Canis lupus familiaris: one gene and its partners. The protein of the gene in region 2 purifies or fractionates together with the protein of the main gene of each other region. This does not show direct contact. Links are inferred from orthologs where the notes say so. Each region holds a gene or a part of one and is shown on either strand. Other genes may lie near its edges.

Region 1 (5,947 bases), on a different chromosome or scaffold from region 2:
ATGTTCCAGGGTTTGTTTTTTTTTTTAAAGATTTTTTTTTAATTGTCTATACTTTCATTTACCAAGAAATTATCAAATAGAGTATAATAAAGTTTACTTACTTTGGATACTTTAAGGCTTATGAAGAAAAAAATCATTAATAATAACATGTGCAAACAACCTGCAAGGCCAAAATATAGAGAGATGGAAATCAAGTAGGCAGGGGAGAGCAGGTTGTCAGTTCACTTTAGGCTGCAGGCTCATTGCTAGATAACTTCCTCCCTTTGCAATATACCTGTGACTTCTGGAGTTGATGGAAATGATCATCTATGTCTGTGTTTTCTGTTGGAAGGTGTTTGATGGTTGGATTCTGAAGGGGGAGAAATTCCCCAGTTCCCAGGATCATCCTCTCCCCACCACAATAATTAAAAGATGTAATTATTTATTTATTCAGTCATGAGAGACACAGAGAGAGAGGCAGAGACACAGGCAGAGGAAGAAGCAGGCTCCATGCAGGGAGCCCAATGTGGGACTTGATCCCAGGACTCCAGGATCACACCCTGGGCTGAAGGTAGTGCTAAACTGCTGAGCCACCCGGGCTGCCCTGTTCCAGGGTTTTATACACGGAATATCCAGTCTACTATATGCCAAGAATTCTGAAATCTGTATTAGAATTGTATATGAAATTTTCTAATGATTTTTTTTGTTTTCCTTTTTTCTATTTTTTAAGCAATCCCTATACCCAACAAGGGGCTCAAGAGTCAGATGTTCTACTGGCTGAGCCAGCCAGGTACCTCTTGAGTTTTCATTTTTGCTTGAAGGTAAGTATTCCTGGAGTTGCACTGTTTTGCACTGTTTATACATCCATCAAATATATTTACTGAGCACCTACTATGTGTCAGCCATTGCTGCTCCTGGGAGCATGGTGAACCATGATACAGGCAAATTCTCTGCTGTCACAAAACAATCTAGTGGTCAAAAACATCTAATAAACATCAAATGGTATCAATCTTAGAGACTAATAGTAACGTATCACCTCACCATGTATGTCAGAAGTTGGCAACTTGAGAAATGTGTGCCAATAGGAGAGGATAGAGTACCACAGTGACAGAGGGTTTCTCTAATACCCTTTTCTTCCCTTTTAAAGATTTATTTATTCATTGGGGGGGTAGGGGAGAGGCAGAGGGAGAAGCAGGCTCCATGCGGGGACCCTGACGTGGGACTCGATCCTGGGTCTCCAGGATCAGGCCCTGGACTGAAGACGGCGCTAAACTGCTGAGCCACCCAGGCTGCCCCTACCCTTTTCTTTCCTAATCCATTCCCATACCTTCCTTTACAGGGATTTCACCATCTCAACATTTTCTTTCATTTAAAAAAAATTTTTTTTAAATTGTTTTTTCTTCTTTCATTTATATTACCTTAATCAGTAAATCTCAGGCAGGCAATCCTTGAAAGATGTTAATTAGTAACCATGTTACTGGATGGTGAGTTAAAGACAAAGGCTGAGCAGGTTATGGAAATGGGAGGAGAGGGCAGGGTGGAGACAACAGTGAATGATGGAGACTCTACACTGGAATATGTGTCTGTCTAGGGAGGCAGCTACTATTCAGTATCAGCAAACTGCTTTCCTACTGAATTCTAGGCCTCCTATTAAGTTATTTGATTTTTTAAAAAATCTGAAATCTGGATTTTTTTTTTAATTGTATCTCTCAATTTTTCAAAGTTGGCAACTAATCAAATTTGAGAGTTAAAGAAAGGGTTGAGTTAAGATATAACCTTTTCTAGGGGTATTTTTATTTTACAAGGACTCTGCCTCCATAGAGAGGCTTGTAGATCTGGGCTATCCAAAAGAAATCACTTTCCTCTCCTCCAGCCAAGTCTGGCACTCCCAACGATGCTTCTAATGAAAGGCTTGGCCAAACTATGGTCTCCCCATGAGCTGCATGCTGAGAAAGAGTGTAATGGGTTTTAAGTTAATCTTCAACATAGCAACTGTTTAACAGACTTTTACAGAAGTACCAAGAAACAACTTAAAAAGTAGTCCCTCTAATTTCTGAAAATTTTCTATTAAATTAGTGTATTTCTACTCAAAGATCTCATCATTTTAAACAACTCACTGGTGGAAACAAAGTTACCTGAATGTGGAGTCTCTGTAGAAATGGCAAACCACTTTTTTACTCTCCTTGACTTCTTGAAAAAAGTCTCTCTCACTAGGGATTTCTCTGTATTCCCCATGTCCTTTTGAAAGCCATTCCTAATTTGGAGAAAAGGGAAATATTACATACTTGACATATTTTTCAGTACTTTACATTTTGTCTCTAAATCACTATAATATCCTGTAATGAAGTTGATTTTATCTTGTAGAGAAATCAATTCCTCTTATTTACTCTCCTATGCCTCTACTGTCAAGTGCAAACAGTCTCTGAGCAGGGACTATCTCTCAGCATGGTTTGTGTTTAAGACAATCCATGGTAACTTCATACATGTTTTCTTAGAACTTTAAAAATTTAGATTCAGGAGACTTAAAATGTAAATATCCATTTAATTTCTCTGCACTCAACTAAAGTCAGAAGCATTAGGTCTAAGTTACTGCAAAGCTTTGAAAAATTATGCTCATCAGATAAAGCTACTTGGTCTTTGTAGGGGAGAAGGGGGGTTGGTTACTGCAGCTCTGCAGCTCAAAAGCCCTGTTTGCTCAGAGCAGTAGGAGCTTCTATTCTGGCCACCAATGGGATAGTATCATAGGAAGAAAATATTGTCTTCTCACATGATGTCCAGAAACAATACAGATCCCATGAGTCATCTAACTCAACTTCTCAACCCAATGTACCAACCATGCCTGACAGACCTTTGATTCTCAAGCTTCCTGCTACTGGAAAGGTTCATCATCTCAATTGGAAGCTTGCTTCCTTTTTTTTAGGCAGCTGGTTTTAATAAAAAGAGCATTGGGCTTGCAGGTAGAAGGCATGGGTTTGAGTAATTATTCTACCACTTATTAGGCTAAGAATTTTAATAGTCTTTTGAGTCTCCATTTCCTCATTTGTAAAGTGGAGATCACAAAGCAACTATCTCACTGAATTGTGAAAGTAAGACTGTCTACATGAAAATATCTCTAACAGTGTCTGGCACAGGTGCTTCAAAACCAGTTGCATGTATACTCTCTCATTTTTTGAAGGGTCTTCTCACACTGAACTGCAATATATCTGTAACTTTGGTCTGTGGATGCCAGCTTGGACCTAAGATTAGAGAGAAAAGTTCTAATGTCTTTTATATGTTAGCCCTTCAGACATTCTGTCTCACCTATGTCCTTTCTTTTCTACCTCTCCATTTTCTTTTGGCCGTTTCTCGTATGAAATGATTGCTACATCTCTTACTCTTTTTTTTTTTTTTTTACATCTCTTACTCTTATTGATTATCCTCCTCTGAACTAATTTCCCACTTTCCCTTTAAAAGGTTTCAGAAGTCTATAGGCAGCCCTCCAGAAATGGTCCACTGAGAAGGTGGCAGGAGTGCCATCTCCTTTCTTCCTCTGGACTTAAGCTAATACAGGCTGTATTAAGAACTTTGGAATCCCTTTCACATGGACTTATGCTAAGCTGATGCTCACAGGAAGCCCTGGTGTTTTCTCCTTATGTGACATTTCTTTGGTCAAGCTTTTATAAACAATTTAAACTCTCAAATACAATTCGTTAATGGCATGTAATATTTCATGACTTTTCTTGACTTACTAATAACATTACCCTTAAAAAAAAAAAAGTGTTTCTTTGTTTTTTAAAAAGCTCTTTTTATTAATTCTCATATGTTTAACCAACAGGTGGAAAACTTGAACCTTTTGAAGTTCCCTCGGAGGCAAGCCTACTCTGAACCTCCAACACAGGGCATCTTTCCCAAGACACTCAGCACACCCCTGTACTCTTTTAAAGAGTTCATGCAAAAAAAAAAAAAAAAAAGAGTTCATGCTCCACAGGGCATCTGCCGAATGGAATTTAGCAGGATGAGCAGAGATCACAGTGCAGACTGAAGCTACCCAAGGGCTGGCAGCTGAGCATCTAGCTCTCACTTAGTGGCTATAACCCAAGCTTTTGGATAGGCTCTTCCTATATCTCACCTGTCCTTCTGCTCACTACCTAAGTCCTATGTCACAAGCTGCCATAACAGTAAGAGGGTACTTGGTTGAGGAATATTGATTGGCACAGGCCTATTAAGTAGTGTTACTTAACTGTGATCATGAAATAGGAGTTTGTAGCAGAATCTCATCATACATTACCTTAATTATTAGCATTATATTTAAAAAAGTCTCCTGGCTTCAAAACCATATATAGACACACACACAACCCCTATTCTAGAAAACTCAAGATATAAAAATAGAAACTCAGGCACACTATAGACGATTCTTTCCTTTTAGCAATTCTTATAAATACCGAGTATAAACATTATCAAACAGATGCTACAGGGAGCACAAAGAAGCCCTGTTTCTTTAGAAAAGTTAGAAAGTTTTTTTATTCACAGCCAACTGAAGAGGAATAAGAACTGATAATAATCTATTACAGTGTAACATAAAGCAATGCAAACATTTTTAAATCAAAAACAGAATTTAACCCAATGTTTTGATTAGAGTCTTTTCCACACTCATACTCTAAGAGACCAACAAGAATAGAGTTGTGGCCACCCTTCTTTGGTGACCCAGCATGCATTCTTTTGAACAAATAAGCCATGTAAATGTTACAATGGAAATGCCTGAAATAATTTCCACCATGTCAATGGCCTTACAGCTCTCGCCTCACTTACAATGAGTACAGCTAAATTATAACTGGCTTTACAATTAATCACCTAAAAGGAAAACCACTGACAGTGCTTCCTATGCTCTACCTAGGCCACTCTCTCCTCAACCAACCAATCTGAGCTCAAAACACGATCTTGGGTGCATGTTTCTTTTACTCGACTGTAGATTAACATACTGAACAAACTAATTTTTAATGCGCTTTAAAACTATTTTTTTTCCCAGCACATTTTTAACAGTGATAGTACTCTGAAGCAAAAAATGAAAACAACTCTAGAAATGAGGACTGAAATATAAAAGTACTTCAGCACATGTATATATAAGTTGTTAGGAGCATACTGTTAAAGTAATTTCAGAAAGCAGGGCAGAGAGGTTACTTGTTTCTGCTGTTGAGCTTTCCTTAACGCCTCAAGTCTCTTTTCTTTGAGGCGTTCCAATTCATCCTCGTCCATCTGATCCAGTTTCTGAATTTCAGAATCCAAATGTTCTTCTACTAGTTTGGTGGTCTGAAGCAATTGATTTTCCAGGACTTTTGAAAACATGTCAACAGATGCATTAGCTTCCATTCTTCTAAATGGTACAGTTCAGCCTTGGTGCTAGGGAGAAAGTTTGCAAAGTTGGGGGGAGAAAAAAGGTAAAGTTTCTTCTCTCATTTTAAAAAATTCTAGCAAGTGTATAATTTGTACTCTACAAAGAGTTCTGACAACCAAACATTTTGTGTTACACTTAAGAATTTTTACTTAAGGCAGCCCTGGTGGCTTAGCGGTTTGGTGCTGCCTTCAGCCCACGCGTGATCCTAGAGACCGGGGATTGAGTCCCACATCGGTCTCCCTGCATGGAGCCTGCTTCTCCCTCTGCCTCTCTGTCTCTAATAAATTAAATCTTAAAAAAAAAAAGAATTTTTACTTAAATGTTTTTATTGATTGATTGATTGAGGGAGGGAGGGGAGGGGATGGCAGAGAGGGAGAATATTAAGCAGGCTGTGTGTTCGGTGAGAGCCCGACTCAGGGCTCTGTCTCACAATCCTGGGATCATAAACCTGGGCTGAAATCAAGAGTTGGACGTTTTAACTGACTAAGCCACCAAGACATCCCTTATTGAAATCTTTTAAAATTGAATTTTCAATAGGTTATAGTCACACCACTCAAATATTACTTAGAACAAAGGTTAGGTGCTTCTGATTTAGTT
Region 2 (6,607 bases):
TGATTGTCAGCCACAAAGCAGTGACCTAGACCTTGGGGTATATTTGTTCTTGCTGCAGGCTAACTTCTATTCACTCTCTCACCAACACAGGAGAGGGGGAAAAAAAATCATGCAAGGACAGATCCCTCCCCAGCCCCTAGCCCTTTGCTCTTCCAATTCCCCAGGCTCTGATCCACTGGAATATTTTTTCTCAACTAAATTCTTCTCTCACCTTCTTTCACCTCCACACTATTGTAGCTGCTTAAAGGTTTCCAACATTTTTCACGTCTTGGCACATGTAGAAAATAATTTATCTGTAAAGGTTTACAGAGGTCATTGGAGGGGTCATTCCTGGCCAGGGGTGATTGGCCCCAGGGGCTTCAGGCTGTCTTTCAGGTTTCACCAGGCTGTTTTGAAGACTGAGGGATTATACTTGGCAACCCCTAAACCCCATTCTCGGGCACTGTGCTTGGAACATGCTGGTTTAGAGAATGGACCTCTCAGGTACCATGAGGGGTCACGCTCAGCTGAAGCTGGATGATGTATCTGCTTCTTCTCGCATATGAGCATCCAGTTTCCTCCAGGGCTCCAACTGTGGTGATTGGCAGATCTTTCAAATTGGGAAAATCTCCAGGTGCCTCTCCGTGGCTGGGCTGCCTGGCCTTTCCAAGGTTCATTTTCATCCCAGACCCCCCCCCCCCCCCCCCCCCCCACAGTCTGGCAGGAGGAATCTGGCCCATCTGATAAGTAGCAATTGCTGCCTTGGTGCTCAAGGACGGGTCAGGGCTGGGCCTTGCCCTGAAGGGCTTTTAAAACCTTGGCTGCTCTAATGATGAAAGCTAAAGCTGAAGACCCTCTGGGAGCACGAAATTGAAATATCTTGGGCAGGAAGCAATGCTGTGCTCCCAGATGGAACATGCATGTTTTTTTAGATGATTTCCTCAGAGTCAGGGGTGAAAATACCAGTGGGAAAAGAAAGAAGGGAACTGAGCCTCAGTGGAATACAGTCAGTCATGGAGCAAAGGTGAACACATCTGCAACTCTGTACCGGTCGGTCCCCATCTCCTGCCGCCTGTTTGGCATTCCCTCTCAGGCTGGTACCCAGGCACCGAAATTGGTTCCTCCCTTCTGCCTGAGGCTCAGCCCTTTCCCTTTGCTTTATTCATCCTTATGGGCCACACAACTGGTACCTGAGTACCCATCACCACGCTGTGCAGCCACTGATGCATGCCTCTTCCCCCACCCTCCACTCCCTCCTGCTCTCAACAACCACACTTCTTCTAACATGTACTTGGAAGAGGGTCTAAATTAGGGGATCTTCCCTCTCCAATCTTTCCTACACATACATCATTCAATGTTCCTTTTTCCTACTACAGATATTCCCCATGACCTAAACTGGGTCAGGTACCAATACCGTAACTTGTGACTACTGTAATTTTGTGTCTCAGCCAGCTCCACTTTCTCCAAGCAGTAATGTCTTAAAGTACAGTCTTATTTGCCATTGTAGGTTTTGTCTAAGTATGGAATAGATCAGCACAATTCCAACCCCTTCCCACGTGACTAACATTATTAAATCCCGACGGCAAGTTTTGCTAGTCTGGCTGGTTCCTTGAATCTTGGCTCCACCATCTACTAGCTGCGTTACCTAACCTCTTGCTACTTCACATGTAGTCCCAGCAGACCAAGAGCACGAGCTGGAAGTTTGCTAAAAAATGCAGGATCTAAGCTCCACTTCAGACCTACAGATTTGGATCTACATCTTACTATCTACATGTGATTCATGTCCACACTTAAGTCTGAGAAGCAGGAGCCCAATCTCAGCTTGCTGCCTCACTTATGATAGGATTTTATCACCACTCATCAATCCAGGAATTAAGTGAAACAGCCAAACCACTTAGCACAGTGCATGGCACAAAGAAGCCACTTGAAGTGTTGATCAAATGATTGGGTGATCCCCTGCCAGCCTCCTCCATCCCCAGTTGGCCTTAAATAAGCAGACTAGTATTTACTGTGATACAGAAGCCAGCCTGACATTTAAAATAGAAACATCACTTTTATTGACAAGTTAGGACCACAACAGACAGCTTCCACAACAGAAATAAGACAGTCCCAAGACAACGGAGTGTAAAATTGTAGCGGACAGGTTAATACTCTTCACCCTCATCCTCTCCCTCAGCACTATCCGCTCCAACCTCCTCATAATCCTTCTCCAGGGCAGCCATGTCCTCACGGGCCTCAGAAAACTCTCCTTCCTCCATGCCCTCACCCACATACCAGTGAACAAAGGCACGCTTGGCATACATCAGGTCAAACTTGTGGTCCAGGCGAGCCCAGGCCTCAGCAATGGCTGTGGTGTTGCTCAGCATGCACACAGCTCGCTGTACTTTGGCCAGGTCTCCACCGGGTACCACAGTGGGAGGCTGGTAGTTAATGCCCACTTTGAAGCCAGTGGGGCACCAGTCCACAAACTGGATGCTGCGCTTGGTCTTGATGGTGGCAATGGCAGCATTGACATCTTTGGGAACCACATCACCACGGTACAACAGGCAGCAAGCCATGTATTTACCATGGCGAGGGTCACATTTCACCATCTGGTTGGCTGGCTCAAAGCATGCATTGGTGATCTCTGCTACGGTAAGCTGTTCATGGTAGGCTTTCTCAGCAGAGATGACAGGGGCATATGTGGCCAGAGGGAAGTGGATGCGGGGATAGGGCACCAGGTTGGTCTGGAACTCCGTCAGATCCACATTCAGGGCTCCATCAAATCTGAGGGAAGCCGTGATGGAGGACACAATCTGGCTAATAAGGCGGTTAAGGTTAGTGTAAGTTGGGCGCTCAATATCGAGGTTTCTACGACAGATGTCATAGATGGCCTCATTGTCTACCATGAAGGCACAATCAGAGTGCTCCAGGGTGGTGTGGGTGGTGAGGATGGAGTTGTAGGGCTCTACGACAGCTGTGGACACCTGGGGGGCAGGGTAGATGGAGAACTCTAGCTTGGACTTCTTGCCATAATCGACAGAGAGACGTTCCATCAGCAGGGAGGTGAACCCAGAACCGGTTCCCCCGCCAAAGCTGTGGAAAACCAAGAAGCCCTGAAGACCCGTGCACTGGTCAGCCTGCAAAAAGAAAAGTTAATTTTAGCCTTGGTGAAAGCTGCAAGGACCTCTCTGAACCCGTAATTATATTGGTAGAGATTTTTTTTTTTAATTTTAGGTTTTTTATTTATCTAAGTAATCTCAACACCCAATGTAAGGCTCAAACTCAGGACTTTGAGGATCAAGCGTCACATGTTCTGACCGAACCAGCCAGGTGCCCGATGGAGATCTTTTTTAATCTTCCAAACAAGACTGAACAATATTTGCCAAGAAAGCGATAGTAGTGAGCTTCTAAGTGCTAAAATTCAGAGAAACTTCACAATTCCTAGGGGTGAAAATCTGCTATATCAGCTATTTGAAAATGAACTATTTTCATTTCTGCAGACAAAGGAATCGTGAGGTCTGGGATGGATGCAAGGCCAAAGTTTTAGTTAACTAGAAAGGCAACCTCTGGTGCCCTTGCTGTGACTGCAGAACAAGGGTAACTTCTCACAGTTGGAGAGCCACCAAGGGCAGGCCCGAGACCACCAGCCCCACACAATAAAGGTCTTATAAAACTCTGGCGGCTACTTTTTGAGCTGGAATAGGAGAACAGCCGAGTTCCAATGCCCTGGTGTTGGAGGCTGGCTGGGTCTGGATCCGGCTCCACCAGTTCCTTGCTGTGTGACTTTGACCAAGTTTAGTTCTCAATCTCAGTTTTCGCATTTATTAATTAGAATAGTAACCTACCTCAGGTTGTCGAGAACGATGGGAGTCAGCAGAAAGCCTATTGACTGATTCTGCAAAAGGTAACGTGCAGTCCTGCGAGACCTAGTGTCCCTGGGGCTTTCCACCACTTAACTGAGCCATTCTGATAAGCGAACTGCTGTTCTAAGAAAGGATAATCTTGACTTTTCTGCTGACAATCGTCACTTCTCGAAAGTGCTGAGATTTGTGGAATTCTCTACCAATCGCTCAGTTACTTCTCCTGTGGGTCCACACTCTGAATGGGATCAATGTACAGGGCAGACTCCAGTCTACCAATTAAATCCACTAAGCGTCCTATGGACACAGTAACAACACCAAGGACAAATACAATTGTTTTGGTAATCAGCTTTACTCCAGAACCCTTCATGGGTTTTACTCAGTTTATTTGTCCCTAAAGGCAGGTCCTGATTTCCAAGTCAGTGCTCGTAGCTGAAGCTTGATTTGTACACATAGGAACCATTACCCCAATTTTGCTAGGACAACTATGATAAACATCTGGAAAAGTCTCAAGTTGTGAATGATGCAAGGCCATTCTTTTCAGACTAGACCAGTTGTGGCTAGGCTTAGAATGTGACTTTCCTGACAAGCTACTCTACCCAAGCCTTTATTCTTAATTTTTGGTTAATTACTTACAAGCTGCCCACATGCCTGAGGAGCAAAGAGCCATCTGATTGCCAGACTTAATTAAAATGATCCAAACAAAACACTTATCAACTTTACTGATGTGAATACTGTGGCCCAAGATTTTTCTGACACGGTGCCAGTCCACATGGCCCTGAGCTCTAGTGGAAAAGCAAGTCGACTGTTTTCTGTGATTATATTTCAATACTTTCCAAGTTTCAATGATTGACACTAGCCTCTAATAGGGGAGCTCTCTTGATTCCACTTTCATTGTGGTTGGAAGTTTCCAGCATGTGCCATTTCTAGTCAGCATTATACTAGCTTCTTGTGCTCTGAACTTTCTGTATTAATGTAAGGCACCAAATGTAACGTAATCCGTTTTTTTGGAGTCTGATCGATTAGTTACATGTCAGTCTGCCACCTATTCAATGTGACTAAGAGGACCTAACAGGGGCATCTGAACTTGAAGCAGGGAAGTTAATTATTATGAACAAAGATGTTTAATAGTCTTAAATATCAATACAACTGTTAAAAGGCTCTCTGGTTCTCACCTTGACTTTAGGTAAATTGCCCCAACTTCCTTGAGCAATTGCCAAGTCTGCCTTATAAGACATAGAAATAGGCAAGGGAGCACTTAACTCTGCCCCAAATACTTATCCCATAACCCAGGACCATCTGGTTTAAAATCTCGTAAGCACTCAAAGGGTCATTTTAGTGTGCGAAAGGAGGACTCCTCTGGTGTGGTCTCTCTTAAAGCTGTAAGAGAAAACTCTCATCCCACTCTAAATAAAACAATGTTTACCAGCTTCCGAATTCGGTCCAAGACAAGGTCAATGATCTCCTTGCCAATGGTGTAGTGCCCTCGGGCATAGTTATTGGCAGCATCTTCCTTGCCTGTGATGAGCTGCTCAGGGTGGAAGAGCTGGCGGTAGGTGCCAGTGCGAACTTCATCTGGAAAAGGAAAACAAGGTGGCCACCCATCACTAACAACCTGCATGACCCTGCTCACCCCCAGGCTGTCTGTCAATGGAGCCTCAGACAGACCTCCTGCCCCAGTGCCCCGGGAGCTCACTTGGGTTACTGAGGCCAACTCACCAATGACTGTGGGCTCCAGGTCTACAAACACTGCCCTGGGCACATGCTTGCCAGCGCCCGTCTCACTGAAGAAGGTGTTGAAGGAGTCATCTCCTCCCCCAATGGTCTTGTCACTTGGCATCTGGCCATCGGGCTGAATGCCGTGTTCCAGGCAATAGAGCTCCCAGCAGGCATTGCCGATCTGGACACCTGCCTGGCCAACGTGGATGGAGATGCACTCACGCTGTGGCAAGAAGAAAGGAAAATGTCAGAATATGACAGATCAGATGGGACATTCAGGAATGATTCATACCTAAGTGACTAATTAACCTTCAGGATAGATCATCACCTTTCTGGAAGTCACTCCTGCCCAAGGTTTATTTCACAAGCAACAGCCATTGCTGACTAATTCAGAGAAAATGCTTTGCAAAACCAAAGATATGTTAATGAACTACTAGGCAAGACCAGAGATCAGACCCTTGCTTTGTAGTCACATTAGATATTCAAGGTCAGGTTTCTCCCATTTTAGAAAGACTTAAGCCAGTTCTATAGCAATGCATTTCCCCCAGCTCCTGGGAAATATGCCTGCTGATTCCTTAAAGTCATGCAAAATTCCCCCTTTCCAGCTCTGATTCATTCTGTGTGATTGTGCAACCGTTGAGCTCATTCTGGTCCCTCTTTAATCCTATTCTTTAAAAGACAAGAGCTTCTCCCTCTCCCTCTAAAACCAGCTTAAACCAGCAAACTACAGCCATATGACTCATGGAGAAAATGCCAGATAAGCAGCAGTTAGCTGTATTTTAAAAACTGTGGTCAGAGGCAGCTTTTTTAGCCCCGTGGAAGAACTCAACCTTAAGGAAGAACATTCTTCCTTCACTATCAACACCTCTTGATTAGGCAAGGTTGGAGACAGATGGTAATAAAAGCCAGAAGACCTGAGTAATAGCTTAAGAAATTAGTTTTCCTACCCAAACATACATACGTAGATCTCTAGCACTGTGGGAAGAATTCTGTGGTGTCAAGAACTTAATGATATTGGGAAAATGTTTGTTTTCCTTTACTTGATGAGCAAGATCATTTATAAGTTA
Region 3 (5,947 bases), on a different chromosome or scaffold from region 2:
CTGATGTGGGACTCGATCCCAGGTCTCCAGAATCATGCTCGCGGCTGAAGGCAGCGCTAAACCAATGAGCCACCCTGGGCTGCCCAAGAGATAGCTTCTTTAGCTATATTCGGGAGAAAGCTGGTAAAACTTGTTTAACTCCAACTCTACATTATGAGAAAGACTCCACGTTAATAAAAAACTTTCATCAGCTAACTCATTTTGATGTAGTTAAGAAAACTGTTAAAGTAGTCATACCTTGGGAATAATGAGCAATGCATCAGCAAATGCTTGAACTCCCAGCTGGGCCCTCCCCTTTACACTGGGCTTATATTTAATCAAGGCTTCTGCCATTGCCACTTCCACTGCACCCGCACCCGGAACTACACAGCCTGTTGGGGGTGGGAAGGAAGGAGAGAAATGATCAACTACGAAGAAAATAAAACTGTGGAATCATTAAGAAAATACATAAAACACAAACATAAAAAGCATTAATTTCTTGAGAATGTGGAATAGCCACAATATTGCATTTGAAAACACTATAAGCAACACATTATATTTCTAAAATATTATATATTAGAAATATAGATTTCTCTGGAAGAAAAACATTAAATAGCAAAATGCTTCAATTTAACTAGTACTTGGAAGGTTACTATTAGTTCATTTTCTTCTATCACTTTTTTTAAAAAAGATTTTATTTATTTATGAGACAGAGAGAGAGAGAGAGACAAGAGACCTAGGTAGAGGGAGAAGCAGGTTCCCCTTAGGGAGCCCAATGTGGGATTTGATCCCTGAACTCCAGGATTGCGCCCTGAGCCAAAGGCAGACAGTTAACCACTGAGTCACCCAGGTTACCTACTTGTATTCACTTTTAAAAATGATATGCTATGAAAAAGCTTAGCACACCATTAGAGGCATTTTAAAGGGAACACTTTACTTTTGCATGGTGTCTGGCTGTGTAAACTACTGATAAAAAGAACACAGTATTCAGCCATGCTTTTTTTATACTTGTAAAAGAATATAAACACAGTAAGCATCTTACCATCATCAATAGCATTTTTAACAGCCCTCAAGCCATCTCTTATTGCATCTTTGATTTGAGTGAGTGTGTGCTTATTTGGTCCTTTGATCAATAATGTGACAGAGCGAGGATTGTTACACTTCTCAATGAAAGTGAATTTCTCTTCTCCCTATGTGAAAAAGAGGTATTTTCAAAATAGGGTATGTTTGTACCAAGACTGGGAACGACTAGAGGAGCTTATAAAAGAGTAAGTAACATATTAAAAAGGGAACAACATACCCATCACATTAAAGCAAATTACTTCATAAAAAAAGGTCACATATAAAAGCAATGTGATTTTCCCCATCAATGCCTTATCATTACTACACATAACCTTCAAAATGTATGTAAACAAAGCAAGAATATGATCCTAGGTTTGAATGAATTTTTTTTTACTACCGAAGAATTCAAGAACCAAAGAACATTATCATATTATCTTCAGAAAAGAAATACACTTACCAACGTATACTCATAGACAAGTCCTGCATGTCCCAAACAATCAGGATTTAGGTCATCGAAAGAATTTAGAGCTACTCCACCACAAGCAAGAGTCAGCCTGAAATATTGAAGTATTTTAAAGGAGACATATTAAGTAGCTTTGTTATGTTTAAAGAGATTAATAATTTTTAGGAAGCAATCTTTCAGAATTACACACTAAAATTAAATATGCCAAAATGTTATTTTAACTCAAACCTTCAAATTCACCACCACCAAGTTAAAAACCATCTTTTATCCTAACTTGACATTTAACCCACTCTTTCAAAGTCCACAAATACTCTTCTGATAAGAAATCTATAAATAAAACAAGAATTCTTTACCGTGGTGAGCTCTGGGGGAAAAAGCAGTTCTTTGAAACCCCTTGATGCTGTCTCTTGACATAGTAAATGTACATATACATGTCATGGTTTAAAACTAAAGCATACACCAATGTTCACAGCATTATCCACAACAGCCAAAAGGGAGAAACCTAAATGTCCACTGATAAATGAAAAGGTGATAGATATATCCATACAAATGGAATATTATTCATCCTTAACAAGAACAACATTCTAATACATGTTACAACATGGATGAACTCTGAAAACATGCTAAATAAAATAAGCCACACAACAGGACAAATACTGCATGATTCCCTTATATAAGGTACCAATATCATAAAGGCAAAGTAGAAAAGTATTTACTAGGGGGAGGGAAAAGAAAGAGAAAGTTATTGTTTCATTCATGAGAGAATTTCAGTTTGGGAAGATAAAAAAAAAAAAAAGAAAAAGTTCTGGAGATGAATGATGATGGTTGTTGCACAATAACGTGAATGAAACCTAATGCCACTGGATTGTACATCTGAAAAGATAAGCCAAATAATAAATTATATATATTTTTCATTCACAATAAAAAAGGAAAAACTTAGTAGGAACAAGAAAAAGTAGTAATTCCACGTAACTTACAAACTAAGTAAAAATTTACATATCTAAGGTAATATGTTATCCATACCTTTCCATATTTCTCCTTTTAGCTCTACGTAGAGCTACTATGCCTTCTTTCGCAAGAGCATCTAAGGAAAAGGGGTCGATTCCCTACAACAAAAACAGTTCGTTACAATAGAAGTCATCTTAAAAATAGCAATGCACAATACAGACTCATTTATGAAGCAAAATTTCATTCTCACCTTTTGATTAATAACAACAAATCCTTTATCTGAATCACCACAGACTTTCTTTTTCAGTTCTATTATTTTTTTAACTCTATCTTCAATGAATTTTCTTTCAGCTTTTACGAGTTTCTCTCTCTCTTCTGCACTCTTGTAAAAAAACCCAGAATTCACTTCTCTATTTAAAAAAAAAAAAGTTATGGGGGAGGAAGGACAATGTTTATTTTTTAAGGAGATAAACCAGCAGCCTCAGAAACTGTGTTAGTCTTGAGACTTAACAGACAGCCACTGAGTTCCAATCCTGCCCCTGGTATGTTTTCAAAGGTTACTTCCTTTAATTCACCCGAACCCAACTGAGGCGTTAGTGTCCTTGCAGTGGTGAAACTTAAATCTCAAAGTGACTTGCCCAAAGTACCAAGCTCCTCCACCTCCCTATTCCATTTGTATGGCCTGTAAACTCACGTTTTTTCATACTCTAAGGACACATTGCATGTGAGGATGTATGCATCTTCTACTCTTTTTTTCATATCAGGATGCCGTGCCCCATGGTCCAAAACAAGACCTCTGATTAAGCTGTTGAAACACGTAACAAATTGTTTCGTTATTGATTTCCAAATGATACATAATATATACTAACAAAATTCACATAACTGAATTGAAGCTGCATTAATAATTTTCACATGACTTTATTACTTGAGTCTTTGAAAAAGACTGTTTGGATGAAACCTAGGCAGGTTCGATTATGAAAAAGCAATATCCAGAACACAGTACAAAAACAAGCCATTCAAAATAAAAGTAGTAACTCTTATCTTGTACAGAAAATTCTGCAGAGAGGCAGCTGCAACTGGTAGCCTCTCAAATTGTGATCACCTCCTTTTAAAATGACTTTTGAACTATGTTTTTAAAATGGAATATATATTTTAGAAATTTCCCAATAGTCTATTATGCTTTGTAACCCACAGTTCAATAAATCACTGACATAGCTCATTTTTTTACAGTCATTCTGACTATAAGCACATCATTAGTAACTTCAAGATGAAACACAATTGAGCAAACTAAATATTCATTTAGGCAATACACACAAATTCAAAGAAAAGGAAATCAGCCAAAAAACATGTACTGTATAAAGTGCCTATAAATTTGTAAACACATTGTGTAAATATTTCATAGCATCCTATCACCTACCTTGTATCAGTTTCAGATTTATGTTTCATCTCCATGATTTCAACCATGAAGAGATCAATAGGTTCATCTGGTTTTTTAATGGCCAAAATCGAGTCCACTACAGCCTACAATGAGAGCATAACCATTAAATGATCTTGATTTGCAGAAGTCCACATGCTTACGTTGCTTTTCTTCAGAGAAGTTCACTTTTCTTTAAAAATCTCTGAATTGACCTAAGCCTTTTTCTTCGAGGTAACAGAATACATTATTTGTAAAGGATTGAAATCATTTACGTTTCTGACATCTCAACTTATAATTATGTATAAAGAATCACGGACATCCCTACTATTCTATTAAAAATATCAATGAACCTTTTTATAATGAAATCTCAATTTTATTAATCTTTAATGAAAGCTCCAATTGTATTTTCATAACACGGTCAGGTATACTATTATTTTAGGAACACAAATCTGCTGCTCTTTGCCACAAAAAAAAACTATTTCACATGGCATGATACTGTGAAGGTTTTAGATAGCACCTTGCAATTCCAACTAGAAAATACACCAGGGGTTTTTAGTATAGGTGTATACTACCAGACACATACCACACTTAACATACCTCTGTTAAGACATCAGCAAGTTCAGCATGCACTTTTGTACGTAGAGATGTTCTGGCCACATCTATAAGTGTTTCCCTGTCCATTTCTTTGCTTACTTTGACTTGTTCCAAAAACTGAAGTGCCTTTTCCTTTGCAGCTTCAAATCCTTCTGTTATTATTCTGGGATGAAGACCCTATAAACATACAATCACATAATCACCACTAACACTGGAATTCTTCAATCAGATGTTAAAGTAAGTTTTAAAGGAATATTCTAGATTATTCACATGCTTGAATATAATGTGCTGACTTTTTGAATACATTTAAAAGGATAAATAGTCCTTTCAATGCAGAGGAAAAGAACAGACATTGCTCTAGCACAGAATCAAAGCCAAGGGAACTATAAAGTACACTTGGGTGTTCACTGTGCAGACCACAGGGAACGTCTAAAACTCAAAACTGTACTCAATAGGACCATTTATCTTTTCAATTTACATCAATTACTAACAAAACAGAGGCAAAGGGTCTGCCTTTTCTCTCTGCCCAAGATTTTCTTAGAATTGGATCACTACTGAGGTTTGCTTTAATCTTCAAACTACTCAAGGCTAAAAATATTCTGTAATTCTTAATTAAACTTGTTTTAGTTGGTTTTCCTTATAAATATGCCTACTCCTGAACATCCTGTTTCTAGATCTCAACTAATAAGCTGTTACAGACATATGTAAATAAATAATATGTAATACAACTTGACCAAAAAAACCTCTGCAGGCCAAGGAAGTTTCCTTAATCTGTCCAGGATCACAATAAACTTGTATTAAGACCAGGATATAGGCTCTGGTTCCTAGATTTAAGCCCCCTACTCTTTACCTTGTACTATCTGGCCTCAGCTACTATTAACACCTCAATTTATAGAAATTTCCGGCAACACAAGAATCATGTATACTTCAGAAATGTAGAGATCCGCCTGTTTCAGTAGCTCTCCAATGATTAGGACATTGGATGTGGTACCATCACCAGTTATGTCATCCTGGGCTGTTGCTACTTTGGCTATTAGGGAGGCTGTTGGGTGTTGAATTTGCTGAAAGTGGAAAAAAAGAAAAAAAAGAATTACTTCAGTGAAAATACTCCAAATATACTTTAAAGCATGTGAAGGGTCTCCTTAAATGCATCGATTTGCATAAACTGCCCAAGTGTTCAGCTATATACCATGCTGATTTAAAACTCACTATTAACTATTTTGTATATCAATTTATGATAACCCAAATATTTTTACATATAGATTTGAGAAGATTATCTCCACTTTACTGATGAGGAAATCTGAGGCTTACTGTTAAGGTCTACTGAAGGTAACAGAATTAACAGTAAGAAATAATTTCAAATCCATGCATGCTTCTTTAGGACTCTTGGGAGAATAAACCAGGTTCCTTCTAAAATTAAACCCCAGCAGCCTCCAGTATTACTTGGAATTGAATAAAAAAATAAAAAGAAAAAAGTTCTCTTT

What was found.
Region 1: the proteins of TUBA1C (region 2) and TXNDC9 purify together in Homo sapiens (co-immunoprecipitation; 3 studies listed by BioGRID and IntAct, counting the BioPlex papers as one, with this or other methods). This does not show direct contact. The link is inferred for Canis lupus familiaris from reciprocal best matches to the Homo sapiens genes TUBA1C and TXNDC9.
Region 3: the proteins of TUBA1C (region 2) and CCT6A purify together in Homo sapiens (affinity purification with mass spectrometry; 3 studies listed by BioGRID and IntAct, with this or other methods). This does not show direct contact. The link is inferred for Canis lupus familiaris from reciprocal best matches to the Homo sapiens genes TUBA1C and CCT6A.

The regions. Positions count from the first base shown.
Region 1 is NC_049231.1:44,393,395-44,399,341, reverse strand, and holds part of TXNDC9 (thioredoxin domain-containing protein 9), read right to left. Parts: intron 5,356-5,947; 5' UTR 5,326-5,355; coding exon 5,137-5,325; intron 3,969-5,136; exon of another isoform or gene 3,794-3,968; intron 2,234-3,793; coding exon 2,115-2,233; intron 801-2,114; exon of another isoform or gene 281-800; intron 1-280. UniProt on the Homo sapiens protein: Significantly diminishes the chaperonin TCP1 complex ATPase activity, thus negatively impacts protein folding, including that of actin or tubulin.
Region 2 is NC_049248.1:41,311,246-41,317,852, reverse strand, and holds the end of TUBA1C (tubulin alpha-1C chain), read right to left. Parts: intron 5,764-6,607; coding exon 5,541-5,763; intron 5,397-5,540; coding exon 5,248-5,396; intron 3,099-5,247; coding exon 2,124-3,098; 3' UTR 2,013-2,123; downstream 1-2,012. UniProt on the Homo sapiens protein: Tubulin is the major constituent of microtubules, a cylinder consisting of laterally associated linear protofilaments composed of alpha- and beta-tubulin heterodimers.
Region 3 is NC_049227.1:461,107-467,053, reverse strand, and holds part of CCT6A (T-complex protein 1 subunit zeta), read right to left. Parts: intron 5,525-5,947; coding exon 5,390-5,524; intron 4,879-5,389; exon of another isoform or gene 4,745-4,878; intron 4,641-4,744; coding exon 4,467-4,640; intron 3,974-4,466; coding exon 3,870-3,973; intron 3,258-3,869; coding exon 3,147-3,257; intron 2,863-3,146; coding exon 2,703-2,862; intron 2,611-2,702; coding exon 2,528-2,610; intron 1,596-2,527; coding exon 1,499-1,595; intron 1,170-1,498; coding exon 1,022-1,169; intron 977-1,021; exon of another isoform or gene 837-976; intron 372-836; coding exon 238-371; intron 1-237. UniProt on the Homo sapiens protein: Component of the chaperonin-containing T-complex (TRiC), a molecular chaperone complex that assists the folding of actin, tubulin and other proteins upon ATP hydrolysis.